Sus scrofa: one gene and its partners. The protein of the gene in region 1 binds, or shares a complex with, the protein of each later gene. Links are inferred from orthologs where the notes say so. Each region holds a gene or a part of one and is shown on either strand. Other genes may lie near its edges.

Region 1 (7,714 bases):
ACTCCAAATACCACAGGTGCAGCCAGGAAAGAAAAAACAAAAACAAAAACAAACCCCACAAAACAAACAAAAAACCCCCTTGTACTAGCTTCCTAAGTGTGCAACAGTCATCTGCTCTGCAATTCCTTCCATGATTTTTACTACGGGTGCATATTACATGTACCAGTTTGTGGCTGCAGAATGCAGTGGCTTATCTCCCCTTTGAAAAGTAGGACGAGTTGCCTGAACCACTATCTACCACCATGGCCACTCCCCATTTGCTTAAAGATGACCTCGGTGGTTCTCAGCTTACCTCCCTGCAAGGTCTCCCTCGCCCTCCCACCCACGATGTAATTCATCTGGCCCAGAGATCGGAACGCATATAAAGGTACCAGCTACTCCCTTTTCACCTCACCTGTATGGCTTCACTTTTCTTTTTCCAGTGTCTACTCTATTTTTTCTAGCTTGAAGGATATTTTCTCAGGTGGAAAAGACAAACGGCAGCCAGGACTTCTGTCCTCCTTTCCTGCTGTTTCATTAATATCAAGCCTCCACTAATAAGCAGTGGGCCTATCTACTTCTTCCTCATCTTGTTCTAAAAAACTGTTAAAACACGAAAGCCTTATTTGGCATCTTTTGTAAGCCTCAGACCATTCAGAACTTCATCCCCCATAACTCTCCTAAGAAGAGTCATAGAAATCTATGCCTCCCTTTTCTATTGCTTCCATGTATCTTTCAAAACCCCAGTTCATGAGGGAGTTTCCACGGCAGTGGCATTTGAAAAAGTTGACTACCTTAGATAAGTTGGAATTATTCATGACTGCCAAAAGGCACTTCAAACAAATGGACAAAGGACAACTACCAGATGAACTAGAGCTCAAGAGTATAAAATCACCCTACCAATGAGATTACCTTATGTTCTCCTTTGGAACTTCAGTAGCCAAGCTTTCTTGGGGGCGGTGTAAGACCCGAGTAAGTCATAATAACGATAAAAAGGGCAACATTAGAGCTATACACAGGGTATTCTGTGAGCACAGAGGATTCATTACTTTATTGCTTTTTTTTTTTTTTTTTTTTTTACTTTATTGCTTTTTTGAAAAAGAGAGAACTGAAAAAAGTTATTTGTTTTACCTCATCAAGGTCTTTGGTCTCTCTGCCCAATTCATCATCATCTTCATCAGAATCAAGCTCTGGTCCAATATAATTCCCAAACTCATCATATAAGTCAGTATCCATGATGCTAAAATTCAAAAAGAGAAGTTAGATGCTGGCAAGGTGATCAAGGCCTCCACCCGAGCCGACGGTTGACCACATCCCGTCACACAAATCTGCTCTGCAGTGACATCAACCAGACTCCTCTTCCCAAGTCCTGCACATTCACCTCCTCTCTGTACTCACTGGCCCTTTTTACACACTTTTCTCCCAATTCTTTTTTTCAATACTAAAAAAAATTTAAATAAATAATTTAAAAATGATACCAGAAAGTCACAAAAAGAGCACAAGTTTCTTTTTCCTAAATTATTTGAGAATAAGTTGCTGACACAATGTCTCATCACTGCCCAAAACTTCAGGGCAGGAGCTGACAAACTACAACCTGCAGCCAAATCTGGCCTGCCAACTGTTTCTATACAGCCCCAAAGGTAAGATGTTTTTCATATTTCTAAGTGATTGGAAAAAAAATTCCAAAGAGCAATATTTCATGATACACAAAAATTAGTTATATGAAATTCCCATCTTGGGTCTATAAAAACAGCTTCACTGGAACACAGCCATGCTCATTCTTTTATATTGCCTGTGGCTGCTCTCACACTCTAACAGCAGAGTTGAGTAGCTGTCACTGAGACCATATGGCCCACAAAGCCTAAAACATTTACTAGCTGGTCCTTAACAGCAAAAGTTTGCCTAACCCTTGCTTTAGTGTGTGTGATTCCTACAAACAAGGACATTCTCCTACATAACCACGATATAACCACCAATATCAGAAAATTTATATTGACACATTACTGCCACCTAATCCTCAGGCCCCCATTCAAGCTTCACAAACTGTTCCAACAGAGTCCTGGACAGCAAAGGATCCAATCCAGATTCCATGTTTGTGTTTAGCTGACGTGTCTTTAGCGTCTGTCTTTTTTTCTTTTTTTGGCCTTGCCTGTGGTATGCAGAAGTTCCCAGGCCAGGGATTGAACCCACACCACAGCAGTGACAAATGCCAGATCCTTAACCCACTGCACCACCAGGGAACTCCTTTAGTGTCTTTCAGTCTGGAACAGTTCCTCACTCTTTCCTTGATTTCTGTGATTGGACACTTTTGAAGATTATAGGCTAGTGAGTTTGTAGAACGTCCCATAATTTGGCTTTGTCTGATGTTTCAGCATGATTAGATTTAGGTTATGCATTGTGGGCAGGAACATCATAGAAATGAAGCTGTGTTAAGAGCATTTCCTATCAGGTGGCACATGATTTTGATTTGTCCCATTGATGGTAATGCTAACTTAATCCCTTGATTGCAGTGGTGTCTACTAGGCCTTTCCACTGTAAAATTACTTGTTTTCTCTTTGTAATTACTAAGTATTGTGGGGTTGTCTCTACTTCAATTATTGAGATTCTATTCAAAGTTCAAATGCCACCTCTTTCAAGCCTTCCTACAGCCTCAATTTCTTATTCTCCTATACTGCTTATTTCTTCTTTTGTGTCCTTCTCAGCCTTTAATTCTGTCCTGAATGGTAGTTAACTTACCAATTACTCTAACAACTCAACAGCTTACAAGTAATAAACAATAGACCAAAGCATGGATTAATGGGCAGGGCTCCGGAGGTGGAAGACTCCAGATGTGAATCCAAACTGTCACTTAATAACTATGTCACTTCAGGTAAGTTAGTCACCTCTCCAAGCTTGAGTCCTCATTTGGAAAAACGAACCGATTAATCCTCATTGCACTAGGGGTTATGAGAGTTAAATAAAATAGTCTGTGTAAAGAATTTGTCACATTTGACTAGGCACAATAAATGTCAGCTGGCATTGTTTTTTGGCCATTTTTTTTTTAATTTTAATTTTTTTGTCTTTTGTCCTTTTAGGCCTGCACCCACAGCATATGGAGGTTCCTAGGTTAGGGGTCTAATCAGAGCTGTAGCCATCGGCCTACACCACAGTCACAGTAATGCAGGACCCGAGCCACATCTGCAACCTACACCACAGCTCACAGTAACACTGGATCCTTAACCCACTGGGTGAGGCCAGGGATCGAACCCGCAACCTCATGGTTCCTGTTCGGATTTGTTTCCACTTCACCATGACGGGAACTCCTGGCCATTCTTGAATATAGGAATTCCGTGTTCTTTGTGCTCACTACCAATCCCCAAAACAGCACCTCACATAAGTAGGAACTGGATAAAGGTTAACTGAATGAAATGTTTAATTTTAAGATATTGATATTTCTTGCATGAGGTTAATCCCTCCACCTCCCTCCGTGCCCCCTACTGAGAGCTGACTGTGGATAAAATGAAGAATTAAGAACTCCAAGCACTAGTAATTAAACGAAATTATTACAGAAAGTTTCATATGCATAAAGGTTCTTTTTAGCTCCAAAGAGCTATCACATCCTTGCTCATTTCATTCTCCCAAAACACCTATGAAATGACCTTATTTCTGCTTCAGGACCACTGCACTTACTATTCTCTTTTGAAATGTCCTTCCCTTGGACATGCATAGCTGTTCCTTCATCTCACTGTCTCTACTAAAATGTCACCTCTGAGAACCCTTCCCTTGTCACTGTAAAAAAAAAAAAAAAAAAAAAAAAGCTCCCCATACACACACTCTGCAATCCTCGCTTTCACTGTTTTATTGTTTTTATTAACGTTTACCATTAGCTGACACATATCTGTTCATGTATTTACTGTCTTCTCTCCAAATACAGCTTAAGCAAAAACTTTGGATTTGTTTTTTGTTTTTTTCACTTAGAGAGGTGTCCAGCACAAAACAGAACCTCAGTAAGTATTTGTTGAAAGACTAAATAAATGGCTCCAACAAGCAAAGAAAAGATAGTTGGCTTGCTCACAGTTGCACAAAACTAGTGAGCTTCGGTACTAAACTTCACTGCAGCTTCCCGCTACAGTCCAAGTTTCTCAAAGGAATACAGAGCAAGGGCCAAGGGAGCTTGGTAGAGAAGGGGTGAAGAGGGCACAGATGGAAGAGGGAGTGAGACAGGGGAATGAACAGTTAGAGAACGACCAGAGAAGGAGTTTTATAAATAGATGACACTGAGGGAAAACCGGAATCCGTGTGTGTTGCGGGGAGTTCATTCCCTTTCCCGCTCCACGCCTCAATTCACCCATTTGTAAAGTAAAAGTGGCAAAACCGCATGTAACGTTTCTTCCAGATACGACATTATTGAATTTCCCATCCCATCGCAGCGACCTCGCCACGCTTTGACCAGGGCCAACTCACCTCCCGTTGCTGGGCCAAAAACACCAAGTCTGCCGCCTGAGGCCTTGCTTCCGCCCCACGCCGCCGCACCACCTGCGCCCGCCGTCCGGAAGGACCCCGCAGACGCAGTGGTCGCGTTTCTGCCACGGAGGACAGCCCTCTGCCTGAGAACCAGCTTGGAGGAATGCCGGCCGCGGATACAGGAACTTGCAGGGCAGAGTTGTGGGTCCCCAAACCGAGGCGTAGACTGCTCCAAAGAAAGCGAGGCCTGAGGGAAGAGTGAATCTGATCAGGCGCCCCGGGGCTACCCTGACGTGGGGCCTTCGAGCCGGTCACGTGGGCGGGCCTGTTGAAGCAGTTGCTGGGCAACCACAGCTGCTGGGCGTGGTCTACGTCGAGCCGTTTTGGTTTGGGATTCCTAAAGAAAGAATGGAAACCAAGGCCGGGGCTGCTGGGGTGAAGTTCAGGGGGCGGGAGGGTTAGGTATTGTACTTACTCAGTGAGTGGGGAGGGCTCAGGATTGAACAGGAACCGGATCACCTGAGTTCAGTTCCTGGCCAGCCCAGCCTCCTCCTTGGTGTTCCGCTTACTGTGTTGGGGTGGAGGGGGAGGGCTCCGGGCTTGTTGATCTGCTTTCCTGCCCTAGGGCTGTTGATGATGACTTCACCACCTAATCTAGCTCAAAGCACTAAATTCTTTGGAGTTTGAGGTTCAAAGGAGTCTCACAGCAAGTAAATGCCAGAGTCAAGATTAGAACCCATATAGGTGATCTTACGGAACGGGTTAATCAGCCTCAGATACGCGGAGGCTGCAGAAATACAGTGGCAGAACTAAAGAGGTTACCCAAGTACCCAGGGACCTGTGCTCTAGCCCTGGTCTGGACAGAGGGATTTGGGAATGGGGATCATTGAGTCCCCTCTTCTACCACATCTAATTGATTTCCTGTTCAGCCATTGCATCTGGTTTGGGTTGAAAGTATGTTTCTTGTTAAAGACATTTAACAACGGGTACAATTTTATCCCTGGACCTAAGAGTCATTTATAAGGGAGTTCCCATCTAGCTCAGCGGAAACGAATCTGACTACCGTTCATGAGGACACGGGTTCGATCCCTGGCCTCGCTCGGTGGGTTAAAGGATCTCGCTTTCCTGTGAGCTGTGAGCTGTGTGTAGGTCGCAGACGTGGCTCGGATCTGGCATTGCTGTGGCTGTGGCATAGGCTGGTGGCTACAACTCCTATTCGACCCTTAGCCTGAGAACCTCCATATGATGTGGGTGCAGCCCTAAAAAGACAAAAAAAAAAAAAAAAAAAAAAAAGAAAGAAAAGAAAAAGAAAAATCGAATTCAAATAAAGATGGTTCAAATGAAGGGGGAAAAATATGTATAAAAGGAATCAGTTATAATAGTTCTGCTTTGGCGTGAGAGGCTCTTATCACAACTCACTATGGAATGACCCATGTGGAAGCAGGAAGGGGCTGAATTCTGAATAAATAAATGCCTCCTCAGCCAAATATTTTTAGAGACAGAATAAAAACAAATGAAAAATTAGAAAAAAGAATGAAAAATTGCCATTTGCAACAACACTTAGAGGGCATTATGCTAAGGGATTATAGGATACCACAGGGAATTATAAGTCGGACAAAAATATCGTATGATTTCACTTATATGTGAAGTCTAAAAAAACAAACAAACAAACAAACAAAACAAACATTTATAGACACAGAGAACAAACTGGTGGTTGCCGCAGGGGAGGGGAGTAATGGGATAGGCGAAATAGATGAAGGCAGTTAAGAGGCACAAACTTCCAGGAGTAAAATAAGACATAGGAACGTAATAACACAGAATAGGGAATATAGTCAATAATATTGTTGGGAGTTCCCTGGAGGCCTAGTGGTTAAGGATCTGGCATTGTCACTGCTGTGGCTCGAATTGCTGCAGTGGTGTGAGTTCAATGCCTGGCCTGGGAACTTCTGCACCCCCCCCCAAAAAAAGTAATTAAGTTATTACAATTCTGGGGGGAGTGAGCCCAAAGCATACGGAAGTTCCTGGGCCAGAGATCAGATCTGCACCACAGCAGCAACTCAATCCACAGCAGTGAAAATGCTGGATCCTTAACCTGCTGAGTCAGCAGGGAACTCCCTGTAATAACTTTGAATGATGACAGGTGGTAATTAGACTTATCATGGTGATCATTTCACAATGTATATATCAAATCACTATGTTGTACACCTGAAACTCGTATAACATTGTGTGTCAATTATACTTCAATTAAAAAATACTTTTAGAGGCAGAGAACAAAATTAAGGCAGGGCACTAAATTGAAATTCAAGACACTGTTCTCAGTGACAAGTCTTAAGCGAAAACTCACTATGTAATGCCCCTCTGTAAAAGAGAGAACTAGATTTTTAGACTTTTGTCACACTCTCCAAGGTAAGTAACACAATATCCAAAGTGTTTTGGAGTCATTTTGTGGGCTGGCAAAGAATCCAGATGCACACCCCCTACCCCCACCCCTGATATTGACCTTCAGCTGACACTCATTCCCTTTGCCTTCGCAGGCACAGGCCATGGAAAGGAATGACATTATTGACTTTAAGGCTCTGGAGAAAGAGCTGCAGGCTGCCCTCACCGCTGATGAGAAGTACAAACGAGAGAACGCTGCCAAGTTACGGGCAGTGGAACAGAGGGTGGCTTCCTATGAGGAGTTCAGGTTGGCTTAATGCCCTTTTTCTCAGGCGCCCCTGTAATGATTTACAATAGTAGGTAAGAGCATGTGCTTTGGAGTCAGACAATTCTGGGCTCCGTCCTGGCCCTGCTCTCTACTACCTGTGTGATCTTGTGGAAGTTATTTTACTAATCTGAGCCTCTACTCCTCATCTGTAAAAGAGAGTAACCATTGCTATGATTAAATATTATTGCATAGAAGATTCTGAGCACAATGTCTGGCATCTGGGAAGTGCTCAAAGGTTGTCAGCTATTGTTGCTGTTGTTGGCTTGCCAGCAGGTACAGCCTATATTATGGAAAATCCAGCCATCTCACACCTATAGGCAGCATTGGGTCTTTCCCCTAATCTCCGTCCTTTGCCCACAGGGGTATTGTCCTTGCATCACATCTAAAGCCACTGGAGCGGAAGGACAAGATAGGAGGGAAGAGGACTGTGCCCTGGAATTGTCACGCTGTTCAGGGAAGGCCCTCCCAGGATGACACCACTGAAATCTCTCCGGTAGGTGGGTCCCAGCATTATCCTCTGTCCTAAATCTCCAATCCTGTCTTCTTTTTCTCTTTTTTTGGCAGCACCCATGGCATATGGAAGTT
Region 2 (7,759 bases), on another chromosome or scaffold:
ACATGAGGGGAAGGAAGGAAGATAATAGTTTAGATACTGCCTAGGGACCTTCTCTGAAGAAGTGACATTTTAGCTGAGACCCAAGAAACAAAAAGGAGCCATCTATGTAAGCTCTTAGGGGTGAGTTCTAGGAAGAGGAACAATAAACACAAACCTCTTCCAGTGGGAGTGGGCTTGGCATATCTGATGCAGGAGTTGGCACAATAGGAAGTCAGAGAGGTAGGAGGGGCCAGATCATGGAGGACCCTGTAAGAACATGGTGGGGCTAGGATTTTACTCAATGTAAAAAGAAAACCAATGGAGGGTTTTAAGCAAAGGAGTTACATGCCCTTTAAAGGGCCACTCTGGTTAGTATGAGAATGAAATACAGGCAACCAGAGAAGAAGCAGAGAGATAAAGTTATTACAATATCCAGTATTTCTTAATAATAGTGGTTTAGAAGTGAGATGGACAGAAGCAGGTGGATTTGGGTCGTAGAGCCAAAGAACTTTCTGGTAGATATGGGGAAGAGAGGGAAATGAAGAAAAAATGAGAAATTCCAGTTTTTAGGTCTGTACAACTAGACCATGGAGCAATGATGAGAAGACTATTATTAGACTGAAGGAAAAAAGTGTTGCCTGTTAGACTGGAAAAGTCAAGTAGGCAAATAGATAAATGTTTGGAGTTCAGAAAACTTAGGACTGAAGATACACATTTGAAAGTCATTAACATAGAATTTGAATTTAAAGCCACTGCACTAAAGTCATTTAAGGAGAAATTATAAATTTACAAATAAAAAAAAGTCTAGGATTGAGTCCAGAGGCACTTGACTAAGAAGGAACAGCCAGTGAGTTAAGAGGAAAGGAGAATGTGGTATCTCAATGCCAAGAGACTATAGAGTTGCAAAAAGGCCAAGTAAGGTAAGAACAGAGAAGTAGCCATCAGTTTTAAAGGTTATGTGTGATCTTGACAAGAGTAGGCTTAGGAGTGTGGTGGAGATGCAGGCCTGACTTGAGTGGTTGAAGGAGCAAATAGAATTTAAAGACAATGAGAAAGTACTATCTAAATAAGGCTTTTGAAAACTTCTGTTGTAAAAGGAAGCAAGGGAATGGGATGGCACCTGGAAGGGTTCATGGAATTTTTAAGACTGGATATAATAAAGTATGGCATCGAAAATTGTTTTTATGGTGGGAGACATTTTTATCTCCATTCCTAGATGAAAAAGTAATGTTCAGAAAAGTTAAGGAACTGGTTTAACTTGCTTAAGGTTACAGAGCTAGACAATAACAAAGTCAAGATTCAAATTTAGGTCTGACTCCAGAGCTTATGATCTGTCCACATTTTTTGTTGCCTCTGGTTTGCAGGAAAATTTGGAACTAAAAAAAATAAGTCATGCTTTCTGGTGAAATAATAAAAAGGAAGTAGCACTAATTTCTTCACATAACAGTTAAAACAGTGAAGAACAGGATGAAACTGGCAGGTTATAATAGATTATGCATGCTAGCAACTACCTAACTGCATGTTTTATCATAACACAATGATACAAAACAAATTCATTCTAATACACTTGATACTAAAAAGAGTGGAAATTTATATGATTGCTCTATAGATGCTCTTATACCCACCTCGCTTTTTTTGAAGTCAAAGCTTTATTTTCATTCAGCTTTCTTCCTCCACTTTCTGCATTGAAATATACATGTATTTTAGTGGGTTATTTCTACACATTTCACATATAGCACTTAACAAGTAACACTTAACAAGGCTTTTAAAAATGCTACTTAAAAAGGAGAAAATTATTATTAGGAAAACAATAAAACAATAAAAATTTGGATAAAAGGCAATTATTTTATTTCTTAGACTCAAAGCAGGACTTTAGGAACAGGTCTATATTTAATCTATCTAATGCAAAATCTAGATGCCACTACTTTGGTGCCACTGACCTTAAATACAGTGATAATGTTTCTTTTTCTTCCCTTTAGAAACATCTTCACTGTAATTAATGATTGTGAAGGTGAAAACATTTAAATGATTTGTTCAAGAATATAAAAACCAGGTGAGGAAAGGGGGATTTAAATAATAACTCTAGGAGTTCCCATCATGGCGCAGTGGTTAACGAATCCGACTAGGAACCATGAGGTTGTGGGTTCGATCCCTGGCCTCGCTCAGTGGGTCAAGGATCCGGTGTTGCTGTGAGCTGTGGTGTAGGTTTGCAGATGCGGCTTGAATCCCATATTGCTGTGGCTCTGGCACAGGCCAACAGCGACAGCTGCGATTAGACCCTAGACTGGGAACCTCCACATGCCTTGGAGCAGCCCAAGAAAAGGCAAAAAGACAAAAAACAAACAAACAAAAAATAATAATAATAACTCTAGTTAGGCTGAACCAAATCAGTTACTATGATATACTCATTGCTTAAAAATCATTCAATTATCTCTATTTCCTGACTACCAAATTAGGAACCCTGACATGTCACTAAGAAAACTAAGGAGATGAAGTTATTAAATTGTTGTGGGGGGGAATGTCCAGTATTCTTTAATATTTAATAGATGAAATATGCTGTATGCTTAACAACATTTTACAAATAATGTAAAAGCTAAAACATTATTCACAGGAAGTATCTGATTTAATTTCTATGTTCTAAAAGGAAAAATACCTGTGGTATTCCTTGCACCATCTTTCCATGTATCTGGAGTGATAACAGTACCAAGTTTCTTTTCACCTGTTATAACAAGATAACAAAAGTGGGGGGGGGTTAGCATTACTATCTAATAAATACACTACATTGTGCCTTAAGTTTACAATGGTATTAATATTCATATTACATACAAATCTGTTATTGCTGAGGCTTGGGGCCAGTGAACTGAGACTTATGATACTAATTGTGGGCCATGGATAACTGACTCTCAGTCAAATCTGTGGATAATAGTATGGCCTATAATAGGCTTGTTTCTGTACATTAATGCTTTAAACAAATCTGATAAATCTGTTCATTTACTAAATATCAGTGATATATAAACCATTGTACAAAGTACAGAGAAAAATAAAATGAATTAGATAAGGCTCTAGATTTCAAGGAGTTTACATCATACTGATTTATCTCTAACAACAGTTCTTAACCTGAGTTTTCACATGTGGACCTTAGGAAATACATGAACAAGATGAAACTGAACACAAACCTCTGTATATCCATTTTTTTTTTAATAGACTCTGTTAAGTCCACAGCTTTTGTCACATTCTCAAAGGGCTCCGAGAACAACAACAAAAGTTTAGCATTATTCAACTGAAAGTAAACAGTATGTTAAGAGCTGAAGTACTAAGATACATTCCATGGAGGAAGAAATAACCTTGACTAGGGAAATCCAGGAAAGCTTTGTGAAGAAGGCAGTAGAGAGGGTTTGTGGTAATGAGACCATGAAGAAAAAGGAGAAAGGAGGATGAAGGTAAACTGGATAAAGGACACATCCTGATAAAAGGCGTGGAGAACTCGAGGTACATGCAGTCAGGCAAAATAGTTTGGCTTGGCTGAACTGTAAAGATGGTAAGGGTTAGTGAAAATAAAGTTAAAAAGGTAAGATGTGGCCTCATTGTAGAGGGTCATCCTGAATGCCAGTCTCCAGATACAGAAATCCCAAATTATTCTCTGCACCTTGAGAATGTATTAAAGTAACTGTCATGGTCATTCTTTCACCTAATCTGAAAACTGTGATTCAAATTCTGTGTTCAAAGCTATAAGGCTTTATATACTGTGGGGGGGGGGTAAACGAAATGGATCAAGTTAATTAGATGATAATCAAACTGACGATAATCAAATTAAGAGGACATGTTTAGACTCAGGAAAACGGGAATAAGACTGCTCTTTTTAAATACACAACCAGTTTGTGGGAGCAAAAATATCAAATCTCAGAGGGTGGTATTAGAATTACTGGACGGCAACTAGAAGAAGGAAAGACCTTTCTAAAAGCCAGTAAAATCAACACGGACTGCTTCCAAGGTGGTGAGATTCTCCTACACACCGGCCACCATTCCTCAATACTCTGGGTATTCGTTCAAGGACCATTTAAGCACTCACAGCATGTGGAAGTTCCTGGGCCAGGTATGGAACCCTGCGCCAAAAGTTAGATTTAAATTTCAAATAAACAATGAATACTTTTTCAGTAGACAATGTCCTAAAAGTAAGTGCCTTGCTTTACAGCAGTAAGGAGCAGCAAACAGAGCCAAATCTCAAATATTGCATAGGACGCACACTAAAAATTATTCTTGGTTTACCTGAAATTCAAATTTAACTGGGCGTCCAGTACTTTTATTTGCTAAACCTAGCAACTCCAGTTGCTGTGGAAGCGACTTTTAAGATCCATTTCAACCTGAAGCTCTGAAATGAGGGAGCCAGTCAAGAAGCTCAGGGGTTGAACGAAAACAATGGAAACAGACAAGGAGGTGCAAAACAGACAAGGAGACCACCCTGAATGCAACAAACGGAGGACTATACGGTCGATGGAGAGGCAGGAATGGTCAAAGGGCAGGACAGAACAGAGGCTAGAATCAGAGACTTGTGGCCAAAGTAAAAACAAAGGAATAAAGTCCCGGGGAACTCCAGTTAGGTTGTCCCAGCCTTCTTCTCCCGCAGAAGAGTTTCCTTAACTCACATTTTTCGCACACCATCCTTTCGCGACGATTCCCTCAGTCGCAGTAGGATCGGGAGCTGGAAACCATCAACACCACAGCTGAGAAAACACTCCCCTTCCGGGTTATGAAAGTCCACTTCCGGATCCTCCGCCCCGCCTATTCTACACCTGGAAAGCCGCGGGAGGAATAAAGGAGAGCGGGAAGGCGGGGCTTCCTTCTTGGCCCACCTCTCCACTTCTGCGATTGGTTGTGAGGCCTTCGGTCTCCGCCCTGCTGGCCTGCGCCTGCGCGAGACTCAGGGCGGCGAGTTGCACCTGATGGTGGGAGGTAGTAGCCCTCCCGTTCTCTTCCGCGAGCGGGAGAGTTAGGTAAGCCCAGCCGGACGCTCCCGGCGCACGAGCCTCCAGCGGCTGCAAGCCACCCCCGCCAATTGCCCAACTGATCGGAAATCTCTGCTACCAATAGGCCCTTGCCCGCGGGCCCCTCGAGCGCCGCCCTTCCGGCGTGACCCAGGGGCTGCCCCGATGAACTGGCTCTTTTTCAGTTCCGACTTTCTGTGTTTGTCCCGCCGTTTCTCTTGGTCTTTACGCCTGTGCTCTTTGATTATGCTTCTCAGCTTGTCCCTTTCTGCCCACAGTCGGCTGGGGCTTGGGCAGAGTCCGCAGCGACCCAGTTTGGGATGGGGCTGGAGATTACGGTCCCACGATTCCCGCGAAGGCGCCTCCAGGAGCCTTTCAGAATGGCCCTCTCTTCCGCTGCAAGGCTTGAGGATCTGGGCCAGGTCAGACCACGGGCACCTGGGCAATAGCTGCCCCAGGGGGCACCTGGCGGAAGTCCTCCTGAGCTCTCCAAGGCCTAATATAAGGCTGGTTTCTCAGGAAGGGCAACTCTGCACCTACTCTTCGTTCATTCACTCATTCACGCAGCATTAAGTTTGTGTATTGCTCACTGTCTTATGTACAAATCTGCTCCTGTCAATTGGGATTTTGAGGGTGGCCCAGAAGAAGATAGGACCGGTGAGAAAGATTTCCTTTCTCCTTTCTTGCCATTCATACCTCCTAGTATATATCTATATCATCAAAAAGGTTAGCTAGGGTTTGAAATGGCTTTAGCACTTGGGACCTTGGTAGCTTGCAATGTTTACTAATCTCTGCTAGTCTTTTTCCTTATCAGTAATGTATTTTCTTTTGAAAAATATAGTGTGAATAAATGAGAGTGTTAGGATAAGGCCTGGATTTGCCCTTTTACCCTTTTATATATACGCACACGTACACATATATGTGTGTGTATATATATGGGGTTTTATTCTGGACTAGTCACCACAGTGTGACACGTGGACTCCTTACTTAACATTAGTCAATACTACATATAAGCTCTCTGTTAGATAATTTGTAAATACATGCATACATAAAATAGATATATAGAGATGGGAGAGAGAGAAAGTAAAATTTTTTTTCCCTTTTCATGAAGCTCTTCTTTTCATTGGAATCTAGCGTCTGACATTGCCATTTTGGTATTTTGGGGCGCTGAGATCCCTTAGTTTAGCATGATGTTTTTTGAACGCTCTTGATGACATTGACCACCATTTGTGTATTTCAGTGTGCACCTGCTGTTTCTTGGTATTTGCTAGAAAATGTGAACAACTGTGTTGATAGACAATGGAACACAGTGATTAAAAAAGAATGCCAACAATTCAGCCAAAGTATACTATGGGGTTTCTAGAACACGTATCTTGTATTTCCAAAGGATCCAATCATTAACCCAGGCAGTTTGTTTTCACCTCTGATTTTGGCAAAAAAAAAGGAATTAAAAAAAAAAAAGAAAAGAATTCCGGAGTTCCCGTCTTGGCGCATCGAAAACGAATCTGACTAGGAACCATGAGGACACAGGTTTGATCCCTGGCCTCACTCGGTGGGTTAAGCATCTGGCGTTGCCATGAGCTGTGGTGTAGGTTGCACACACGGCTCAGATCTGGCATTGTTGTGGCTCTGGCATAGGCTGGCAGCTATGGCTCCCATTAGACCCTTAGCCTGGGAACCTCCATATGCTGTGGGTGCAGCCCTAAAAAGACAAAAGACAAAGCCAAAAAAAAAAAAAAAAAATTCCTTAATTAGTCCTAGCACATGACCGTTTTTTTTTTTTTTGCAGAAACTAGACACAAATACTTAAGAAATTAGTAAATTTGTCCTTTTTTAGGTTCTGAGAGCTGTTTGTACCATTTTACTCTACGTGCGTTTACACATGTGCATCTTCCTATATTCTAACACAAGACATTATTGCCCACAGAAAATTGACTTTGGTTCATGGCTTATTTTTAGACATTGGAACATTTAGGGCAATGGTAAAAGTCATTATTGCCTATGCTCTTTTCTTAATTTGTTTTTCATTAGATAGCCACTCAAGGAAACACCATGAAAGATACTGACATCAAGAGACTGCTGTATGCCCATCTTTTATGCATATTTTCAATTATCCTAAGCATCTTCATTCCATCATTCTTCTTGGAGAACTTCTCAATATTGGAAACGCACTTGACATGGTTGTGCATCTGTTCTGTTTTCGTAACTGCTGTCAATTTAATATTATATTTAGTAGTGAAATCAAATACATCATCTAAAAGAAGTTCATTATCATACAAGGTAAGGCTTATTTCTTGATAACTGATATTTAGATGTAGGTTATATTTCTTTTACTGGAAGAATAAAGTATTATTTAAGTACTTAGTGGGTTATTTACAGTGAATAAAGAAACTGATTTTTTTTTCCCAAAAAATCAGTAGCCTATTGCTTGCTGGAAGACTGCCCACAATGTTTGATAGATTCTTGCCATGCAGTAAATAGATATCATTGCATCGTGAACCTATATAGTCATGTTTTATGTCACTATTGAATATAAATACATGTATTTATTTAAACCTTGTAAGACATTTCAGTTTATTTTCGTTCATTTTTTGCATTTCTGAAAGACAGAGTGGATTTTTCAGAAATTACAAAGTAAGCCTCTTTGGAAGCTCTTGTTTCAAACATGGCCTTCCTTGACTAAATAGTAATAAAAATTTTCAGATATTGGAATCTATTTTCTGGAATATTCACTACAGTGTTAACACTTGACTATTATTTAAATTAATAAAGACCTCACAGCATTATTCAATACTATT
Region 3 (7,743 bases), on another chromosome or scaffold:
GATGAGCCCCCAAATCCCACAAACATCGAGGAGATACTGAAGAGTGTTCGAAGCAATGACAAGGAGTTGGAGGAGGTGAACCTCAATAATATCCAGGTATCTGACCCCCACCCTCTAAGGAATAACACTGTCCCAGTTATCCTAACTGCTGACGTAGGTGGGTCCCCAAGCCCATCATCTCCAATCCCCCCTTGACAGGACATCCCGATACCCATGCTAACTGAACTGTGTGAGGCAATGAAGACGAATACCCATGTCCGGAGCTTCAGTCTGGTGGCCACAAGGAGCGGTGACCCCATTGCCCATGTAAGGCTAGCTGACACCCCTAGCCCTCTCCCTGTACCTTGACATGTACCCCTGGCTGGGGTTATGCTGTGGGTGCTATTCCCATCATGCTCTCTTAGGGGAGCCCTGCTGGAGACGCCCAACTTCAGTCCTATGACTCACAGCTCCGAAATCATCAGATCATCTTCTGAAAGAGCCACAACCCCCTCTACCACCAACTCCACTGCACACGTCATCTCCCTGTTTTCCTCTCCTACCCTCCTCATTTCCGCCTTCCTTGAGCCCCACCTACACCTTAAGGACTCATTTCAAAGAGCTGTGTTTCCCTCTTGCTCCTGTTTTTTTCCCCTCCCTTCAATCATCTGTGAAACTGTCTCCTAATCCTAACCTAAATCCCCACTCCCCAGGCGGTGGCTGACATGTTGCGAGAGAATCGTAGCCTCCAGAGTCTGAACATTGAATCCAACTTCATCAGCAGCACAGGGCTCATGGCTGTGCTGAAGGCAGTTCGGGAGAATGCCACACTCACTGAGCTCCGCGTAGACAACCAGGTCAGCATGCCCTTGCCCTGGTCTTTGCAGTCAGCCACTACTCACTGAGCCTCCTCCCTAAGGAGCCACCGGGGTAGGACCTCATCTAATCTTGTTTGAATTCTCCTCTTCTTTGTCCCTATGTGGGGAGCCAAGGCAGTTCCTCTCATCCCCCACTCTTGAGAAACAAGCTTCTTAGACCTCCCAAAGGGTCAGGAGGCTGGGACTATGAACAGCCCAGAGAGGGTGGCTGACAGCTTCCACCTCTCCCTCCCCCAGCGCCAGTGGCCTGGAGATGCAGTGGAGATGGAAATGGCCACTGTGCTCGAACAGTGTCCCTCCATTGTCCGCTTTGGCTACCACTTTACACAGCAGGGGCCACGAGCTCGGGCGGCCCAGGCCATGACACGGAACAATGAATTACGTGAGTAACTGCAGACATGGTGTCGGGCTGCGGGGAGGCCAGGTAGGTGCGGAAGCTGGTAGATCCTCCTGAAAGCTGGCTTAGTGACTAAGAACCTGAACTTCTTCACACCGAGAAGTGATTAGAAAGTATACAGAAAAGCCCCTCTGCCCTAATATACACCAGCAGAGAGGTGGAAGGGAAACGAGACATACCTGTTAGGAGGCGTGGTATTTTGTGTGCCCTGTCGTTTCTTATTTTGTTAATGCAAGGTGGGCATGCTTGTTGGCCTAAGACATGACCTCTTTATGAGTCTGGCCAAGGAACTGGAAAGGAGAAGAGCACCTCTGCAGGAAGCAAGAGATGGAATAATGACTTGCATTGACTCTTCTTCCTTTATAGGTCGCCAGCAAAAGAAGAGATAACAGTACCCTCCCTTTATCAACTGGAGCCCGGAGCCCTGAATGCTTAAATTAAATCCTCATCTATCCCCCTTTCCTGTAAATAAAGGCCCTCTGTCCACTCTGCCTGCCTCCTTCCTTGGGCTTTGGGGTGGAAATCTTGGCGCTAACCCCTCAGGGTTACTGCCAGTTCATCAGGGGATTATTTATACTCTAGGGATCAGCAGGCAGGGAGGGTCAAGTTACCAGGAGGAGGTGGGGGGAGCTCTCTCCCTTGGTGTCCCCCATAACCTGGCCAATGCCTTCAGTCCCTTCTGCTCTCACAGGGTGGCTAAGCCCTGGCCCTGTTTCCAGACCTGTCCAGCTCCCACCCCCACCCCACCCAGTGCCTACCCAAAAACTTCATGTCATTTGAAGGAGGAAAAGACTCTGAGTGGAGGTGGGGAAGAAGTCAGACAACATGAAGGGCAAAGACCTCCTTCTGACAGACTTATTTTAGGGCACCGGGCTGCATGCAGCTGACGCTTGGCATGACTTTGGTAGAAGTGGGGGGAGGGGCTAGAAGTATGGGGAGCTGTGTACATTGCAGGGAAATATTGGCCAGGCTGAGAACGAACAGACCTGAAATCCTGAAATGAGACAAGGAACCAGACTCAAGGAAAGTCAGGCTCCCAGCGCCCACTATAGTTTATTTGTGAACTGAATGGGGAAAGAGTGTCAGTCCAAGGGGAGATCAGGGGGTTCCTCTTCATCAGAATCAAACTCAACATTCTCATCTTTTATCCATCGACCTTGTCCATCTGGGATCCATCCAGAACTGGAAATATCAGAACAAACAGAATCGATCAGGAAAGGAAATGTGTTAAGAATTTAGTAGCGGAGTTCCCTGGTAGCTCGGTAGTTTATAGATCTGCATTGTCACTGCTGTGGCACACTTCTGCATGCTGTGGGCATGGCCTCCCGCCCCCCCCAAAAGCTAGTAGGGATAAGTAATATTTGAGGTTTGAAAAAAGGAGAGCCAGAGAGAAAAGGGACAATCTGAGGAAAGTGATTCCGTACACTCACCTTCGAAGGGTGAGATAATGATCCAGAGCCCGTCTTCTTGTGGGGCTCATAGGTGCAGGGGATGAGACAGTGGCTGATTCCTTGGTTTGTGATGCAGCCGCAGGCTCAAGTTCCCTACTGATCCTCTCACTTTGGGATTCAACCTCTGGGGGTGAAAAAGCGGAACGAGAGACAGAGGGACGAGGGGCTTCTGGTCTGGGTAGAGAAGAATCAAAGTCTGTAAAAGCAGTAAAGGAAAGGACCAAATCTCCTGTAACTCCCAACCCCTTAAAGCAGTGCTTCCTAAACTGTATTCCTCAAGATATTAACAGGTGTTCTGCATAAAAAGGATTTTGGAATCAAATGAACTTAAGGAAAGCCTAAGTTAGTTTTTTCAGCTTTTTTTTTTTTAAGACTGTGTAGAACCCTGAAAATATACTGTTACTATTCTTTTTTTTGGTCTTTTTAGCGCTGCACTGTGGCATATGGAGGCTCCCAGGCTAGGGGTGAATGCAAGCTACAGCTGCCAGCCCTTACCACAGCCACAGTAACATGGGATCCGAGCTGTGTCTGCAACCTACACCACAGCTCACAGCAACACTGGATCCTTAACCCACCAAGCAAGGCCAGGGATCAAACCCTCATCTTCATGGATGCTGGTCGGGTTTGTTCACCGCTGAGCCATGATGGGAACTCGTAATATTACTATGCGTCAAACAGGATTACAAAATCCTATTTCCCAAACAAAATTCTTTTTTCCTGAAATTCAAGTTAGCATTTCCAGAACACTAGTATTCCTCAGAATCCAATTTGGAAAACAGTACTTTAGAGCGATCGATCTCCTGTTCCTCCCTACTTCTGGATTACCCACCCCACAGACCTGTTCTTTCGGCGGCAGCAACTGTTATAGTGAGGAGCTCTGTGCAGAGCACTCTGGGTAATAAGTCGAGTCTGGGTTAACAGAGGAGCCTGGCATGGAGATGGGAGACAAAGTCAGAACCTTCAGAGCTAGAAAGAATCCAGAGCCTTCAAGCCTAAGGTGTGCAGCCTGGAACACACCCTCCCCTCTCTGATTACCTCTGCTTTGGTCTCTTCTCTCCTCAATTCATTCTGTTGTCTTGGATTTGGCTCCAGGCCCTTTCCTGGGTGCTTCTTGCCATAGAAAAGCTGCAGGCCTCAGGAGAAAGGGAAAGAGAATTAAAAGGAGGGCACCCAGAGTGAATAAACCCTTTAAGGGTTTATTCTCTATGCTCTGTCTTCCCACAAACTTACTGGACAGATGTTTCTTGCCTGCACGGTGGGCAGTCAACATGGCCAGGGTGTCCAGTACCGGTCGGTGAGGACAGATGGCACAAGCAAAGCTAGAGAGGAGGAGAGAAGATAATTGGTTCCTGGGGAGTGGAGTCTCTGCCATAGGTTCCACCACAGCCTAGAACTCCTTTCCAAAGCCCAAATCCCAAGTCTCCCAGTCTCCACCACCAACATCCCTGTTACTCACTCCCCGCCAAAGATTCCTTGTTCTTTCCAATCTGCTTAATAACAAAAGTTTGTTGAGCCTCTAACCGCAGAACCCCCAGGCTTGATCCACTCCTAGTCCTCACCGTCCATCCCGTAGCATCAACGCCTCATCCTCTGGGATGTAACTCGCCAGCAGGTCCCCGACTCTCCGTTTCTGCAGGGAACAAGGGAAGAAATGAGGACGGGGTCAGCTGGATATGAGGGAGGAACAAAAAGGAAATGACAAGGACGAGGACTCAAAGGGAATAAAGGCCACAAGAAGGGTAGAGATCTGGGCTGAAGAAGGGGTGTCGGCCCAGTTCCAATCGTCTGGCTTCCTCCGCCCCCCTCCCCCGAGTTGTTGCCACAGCAACAAAACAGCTCCCTCACAGCCTTCAGACGGCAACTGAAGCTGCTCCAGATGCTCTCCTCTCGCGCTTACTTTGAGCACATTGAGTTGACTCCAATCGTCCCCTTCCCTCTTGAAAGACATCACGACTGTGAGAGCCCCAGAAATATAAGTTTTATCGCGCCGCGTTCGCCACTCCTTTCAGGCCACCGTAGCAAGAGTGGGACGTCTCCTTTCTTTCCTGTCTCTTTCCGGTTGGCCCCCTTACTTCCGGGATGCGCTTCCACGCATGCGCCGCGCGATCCCGAAAACCCGCCTCTAGCCCATAGAGGGGACTGCATTTCCTATGGTGCTCTGCGACCCCGCCGGCGCGGAGCCTTTTGGGAAATGAAGTCTTTTTTCAAAGAGCTTGCCGCCCTGCCCGATTCAGGCCCTTGCATCTTGGCAGATTAGAGGCGTTTGGAGAAAGAGGAACCTAGCTGTGGATCCCGAGTTTGAGAGTGTGACTGATTTGATGCGGAGCGTACCTTTGAGGATCTCTCAGGGGAAAGTGTGCTACAGATTCTCGCGGTCATCACGCCCTTCGCCTGAGGCCACAGCCCACCTGGAGTGGGCCTGATTAGTTCCCGACCCTAGCGACCAAGCCCGGGACGCGCGGAATCGGGGTTGGGGGCTGGGAGGTCTGGCGGACCGACCTGGGGGCAAACTCTGTAGTGTAGAGGAGGGTGTCTAGTGGTCAAAGGTCAGAGGTCAATGTCGCGAGTTGTGGGGGATCGAAAGTCGGAGGGGTACTAAGGAGAAACTCAGGTAGGGACTGAACAGTCAGGTTACAGGTTTGTGGGAAAAGGCCTTGGAAGGCGGGGAAGCCAGGAGTCAGAGGTCGCCTAGTGGGGGGAAGGCGGAGAGACTTAGGAGAGAACACAGAAAGGGAAAGGAATCCTCCAGATTTTCATTCCCAGACCCCGGGCCTGTCACTATCGGTCACTTGGCCGGGCCTCCCGCAGTTGCAACTCCAGTTGTCCGCAGGGTGAGGAGATGGCCTCTCCCTCTAGACAGGCCCCCCTCGGGGGGTCAGGACTGCTTCAAGGGAGCCGGGCTCGTTCTTATGGAAGCCTTGTGCAGTCTGCCTGCTCCCCGGTGAGGGAAAGACGCCTGGAGCATCAGTTGGCGCCCGGAGACACCCTGGCTGGACTAGCACTCAAATACGGGGTGACGGTGAGTCTTCCAGGATTGGGACGCAGACACTCAGAAAAGATTTATTCCTCATGAGGATATAGTGGCCCTCTGGGCAACTTCACCTGAAATTTTCCTAATTGTGTCTAAATTAGTTAATTGTGATAAATTAATTGACAAGGGTCCCATCTCGTGTTGCACTGTCTGGTTGAGACAAATCCTGTCTCAATATCCCGGTGGAGGTGAGCAGCTCTTATTTATTATACCAGTCACTATACTAAAGACTTTACATCCATTAGCGCATCTGATCGTCACATCCCTATCAAGCATACAATTATTATACCCTTTTTATAGGTGAAGAAACTGAGACTTAGATTGGTTAACCAATTTGACCAAGGTCAAATAACTAGTAAGTGCTGGAGTGAATATTCAAACAAATCTATCTTACTCCAAAGCCCATACCCTTTTGTTTTATTTTGTTTTGGCCAGGGATTGGCCAGGAAGTTCCTGGGCTAGGTATTGAACCCTCACCACAACAGAGACACAGCAGTGATGCCACCAGACCCTCAACCCACTGAGCCACCAGGGAACTCCAAAGCCCCTACAATTAACCACATAGAAATGTTTTAAATGAGAATGTTGAAACATTTATGGGAAATAATGAAGAGCTGGTTTTTAGTTCTAAGTTCCTTAAGTGCCTGTCTCTTGTTCTTTTTTCCTCTTCAGTGCTCTGCCTCCTTTTCAGAAAGGTAGCCTTGTTGGTACAAAATAGGTACTCCCAGAGTTCCTGTCGTGGCTCAGTGGTTAACGAATCCAACTAGGAACTATGAGTTTGCGGGTTCCATCCCTGGCCTTGCTCAGTGGGTTAAGGATCTGGCTTGTCGTGAGCTGTGGTGTAGGTCGCAGATGCGGCTCAGATCCTGCATTGCTGTGGCTCTGGCGTAGGCCGGTGGCTACAGCTCCGATTAGACCCCTAGCCTGGGAACCTCCGTATGCCGCAGGTGCGGCCCTAGAAACACAAAAGACCAAAAAAAAAAACAAACAAACAAACAAAAAAACCCCCACAAAATAGGTACTCCCTATGCCAAGTATTTCAGGTCATGGACAGGGTATATTTAGTAGGTGTAAAAATACATTGCTTTAAAGTTGATAAGGTAGGAGTTCCCTGTTGATCTAATGGTTAGGACTTGGTGCTTTCACCACCAAAGATGATGAAATTTATGGCTAAGTTCAATCCTTGGTCTGGGAACTGAGATGGTACATCAAGTTGCTGCACACCTTGGCCAAAAAAAAAAGTTGATGAGGGTTTTTCTTCCATATTTCTGTAGCCACACAGTTTTTGTGCTTGGTATGTTCAAACCACTGTGGTAACCATCTTGGGAGATGGAACCATAAATAAAATGTAGAGTTGCTGCCCTCATGTAGTTTACAGTCTAGTGAGAAATGGACAGGGACACAAATAATGATTGTAGGTGACAGAATATGGTGAGTTTGTAGAGGGGTTAACAAAGAGTGGGAAATCAGGAAAGATTAATTTTTTTTTTTTTTTTTTTTTGTCTTTTTAGGGCCATACCCCACGGCATGTGGAGGTTCCCAGGCTAGGGGTCTAATCAGAGCTGTGGCTCCCGGCCTTCACCATAGCCACAGCAATGCCAGATCTGAGCCTCATGGTTCCTAGTCGGATTTGTTTCCACTGCACCTCGATGGGAACTCCCAGGAAAGATTAATTTTTATCTCAAAGGGGACAGTGCAGATTTTAAGGGAGTCATCACAATGGGCCTTGAAAGACAGGCATTCCCTTCTCTTGCTCCTCTCTATAAACCTATGTAATCCAGTGGTTTACACCTTTTACGTTTTTGTCTTTCCAATAGCTTGTATACTTTTTTTAAGGGCCAGAATGATTTCTTTTCAATTTTATTTCTTTTTTTTTTTTTTTAATCTTTTTTTGCTATTTCTTTGGGCTGCTCCCGCGGCATATGGAGGTTCCCAGGCTAGGGGTCTAATCAGAGCTGTAGCCACCGGCCTACGCCAGAGCCACAGCAACGCAGGATCCGAGCCGCG

Evidence for each region.
Region 2: EFTUD2 (region 1) and CRIPT share a complex: the UniProt entries of both Homo sapiens proteins name them as parts of the minor spliceosome. The link is inferred for Sus scrofa from reciprocal best matches to the Homo sapiens genes EFTUD2 and CRIPT.
Region 3: EFTUD2 (region 1) and SCNM1 share a complex: the UniProt entries of both Homo sapiens proteins name them as parts of the minor spliceosome. The link is inferred for Sus scrofa from reciprocal best matches to the Homo sapiens genes EFTUD2 and SCNM1.

What each region holds. Positions count from the first base shown.
Region 1 is NC_010454.4:18,471,357-18,479,070, reverse strand, and holds the start of EFTUD2 (116 kDa U5 small nuclear ribonucleoprotein component), read right to left. Parts: upstream 4,705-7,714; 5' UTR 4,423-4,704; intron 1,220-4,422; 5' UTR 1,216-1,219; coding exon 1,111-1,215; intron 1-1,110. Other genes in the region: CCDC103 (coiled-coil domain-containing protein 103), read left to right, coding at 4,831-4,857, 6,957-7,108, 7,490-7,622. UniProt on the Homo sapiens protein: Required for pre-mRNA splicing as component of the spliceosome, including pre-catalytic, catalytic and post-catalytic spliceosomal complexes. Component of the U5 snRNP and the U4/U6-U5 tri-snRNP complex, a building block of the spliceosome.
Region 2 is NC_010445.4:93,921,145-93,928,903, forward strand, and holds the start of CRIPT (cysteine-rich PDZ-binding protein), read right to left. Parts: upstream 4,773-7,759; 5' UTR 4,639-4,772; coding exon 4,623-4,638; intron 2,699-4,622; coding exon 2,633-2,698; intron 1,660-2,632; coding exon 1,605-1,659; intron 1-1,604. Other genes in the region: PIGF (phosphatidylinositol-glycan biosynthesis class F protein), read left to right, coding at 7,014-7,241. UniProt on the Homo sapiens protein: As a component of the minor spliceosome, involved in the splicing of U12-type introns in pre-mRNAs. Involved in the cytoskeletal anchoring of DLG4 in excitatory synapses.
Region 3 is NC_010446.5:98,077,603-98,085,345, forward strand, and holds SCNM1 (sodium channel modifier 1), read right to left. Parts: upstream 4,773-7,743; 5' UTR 4,654-4,772; coding exon 4,603-4,653; intron 4,336-4,602; coding exon 4,265-4,335; intron 4,025-4,264; coding exon 3,936-4,024; intron 3,839-3,935; coding exon 3,741-3,838; intron 3,633-3,740; coding exon 3,544-3,632; intron 2,880-3,543; coding exon 2,685-2,879; intron 2,437-2,684; coding exon 2,337-2,436; 3' UTR 2,242-2,336; downstream 1-2,241. Other genes in the region: TMOD4 (tropomodulin-4), read left to right, coding at 1-96, 199-306, 693-836, 1,095-1,239, 1,621-1,643; LYSMD1 (lysM and putative peptidoglycan-binding domain-containing protein 1), read left to right, coding at 5,545-5,724. UniProt on the Homo sapiens protein: As a component of the minor spliceosome, involved in the splicing of U12-type introns in pre-mRNAs. Plays a role in the regulation of primary cilia length and Hedgehog signaling.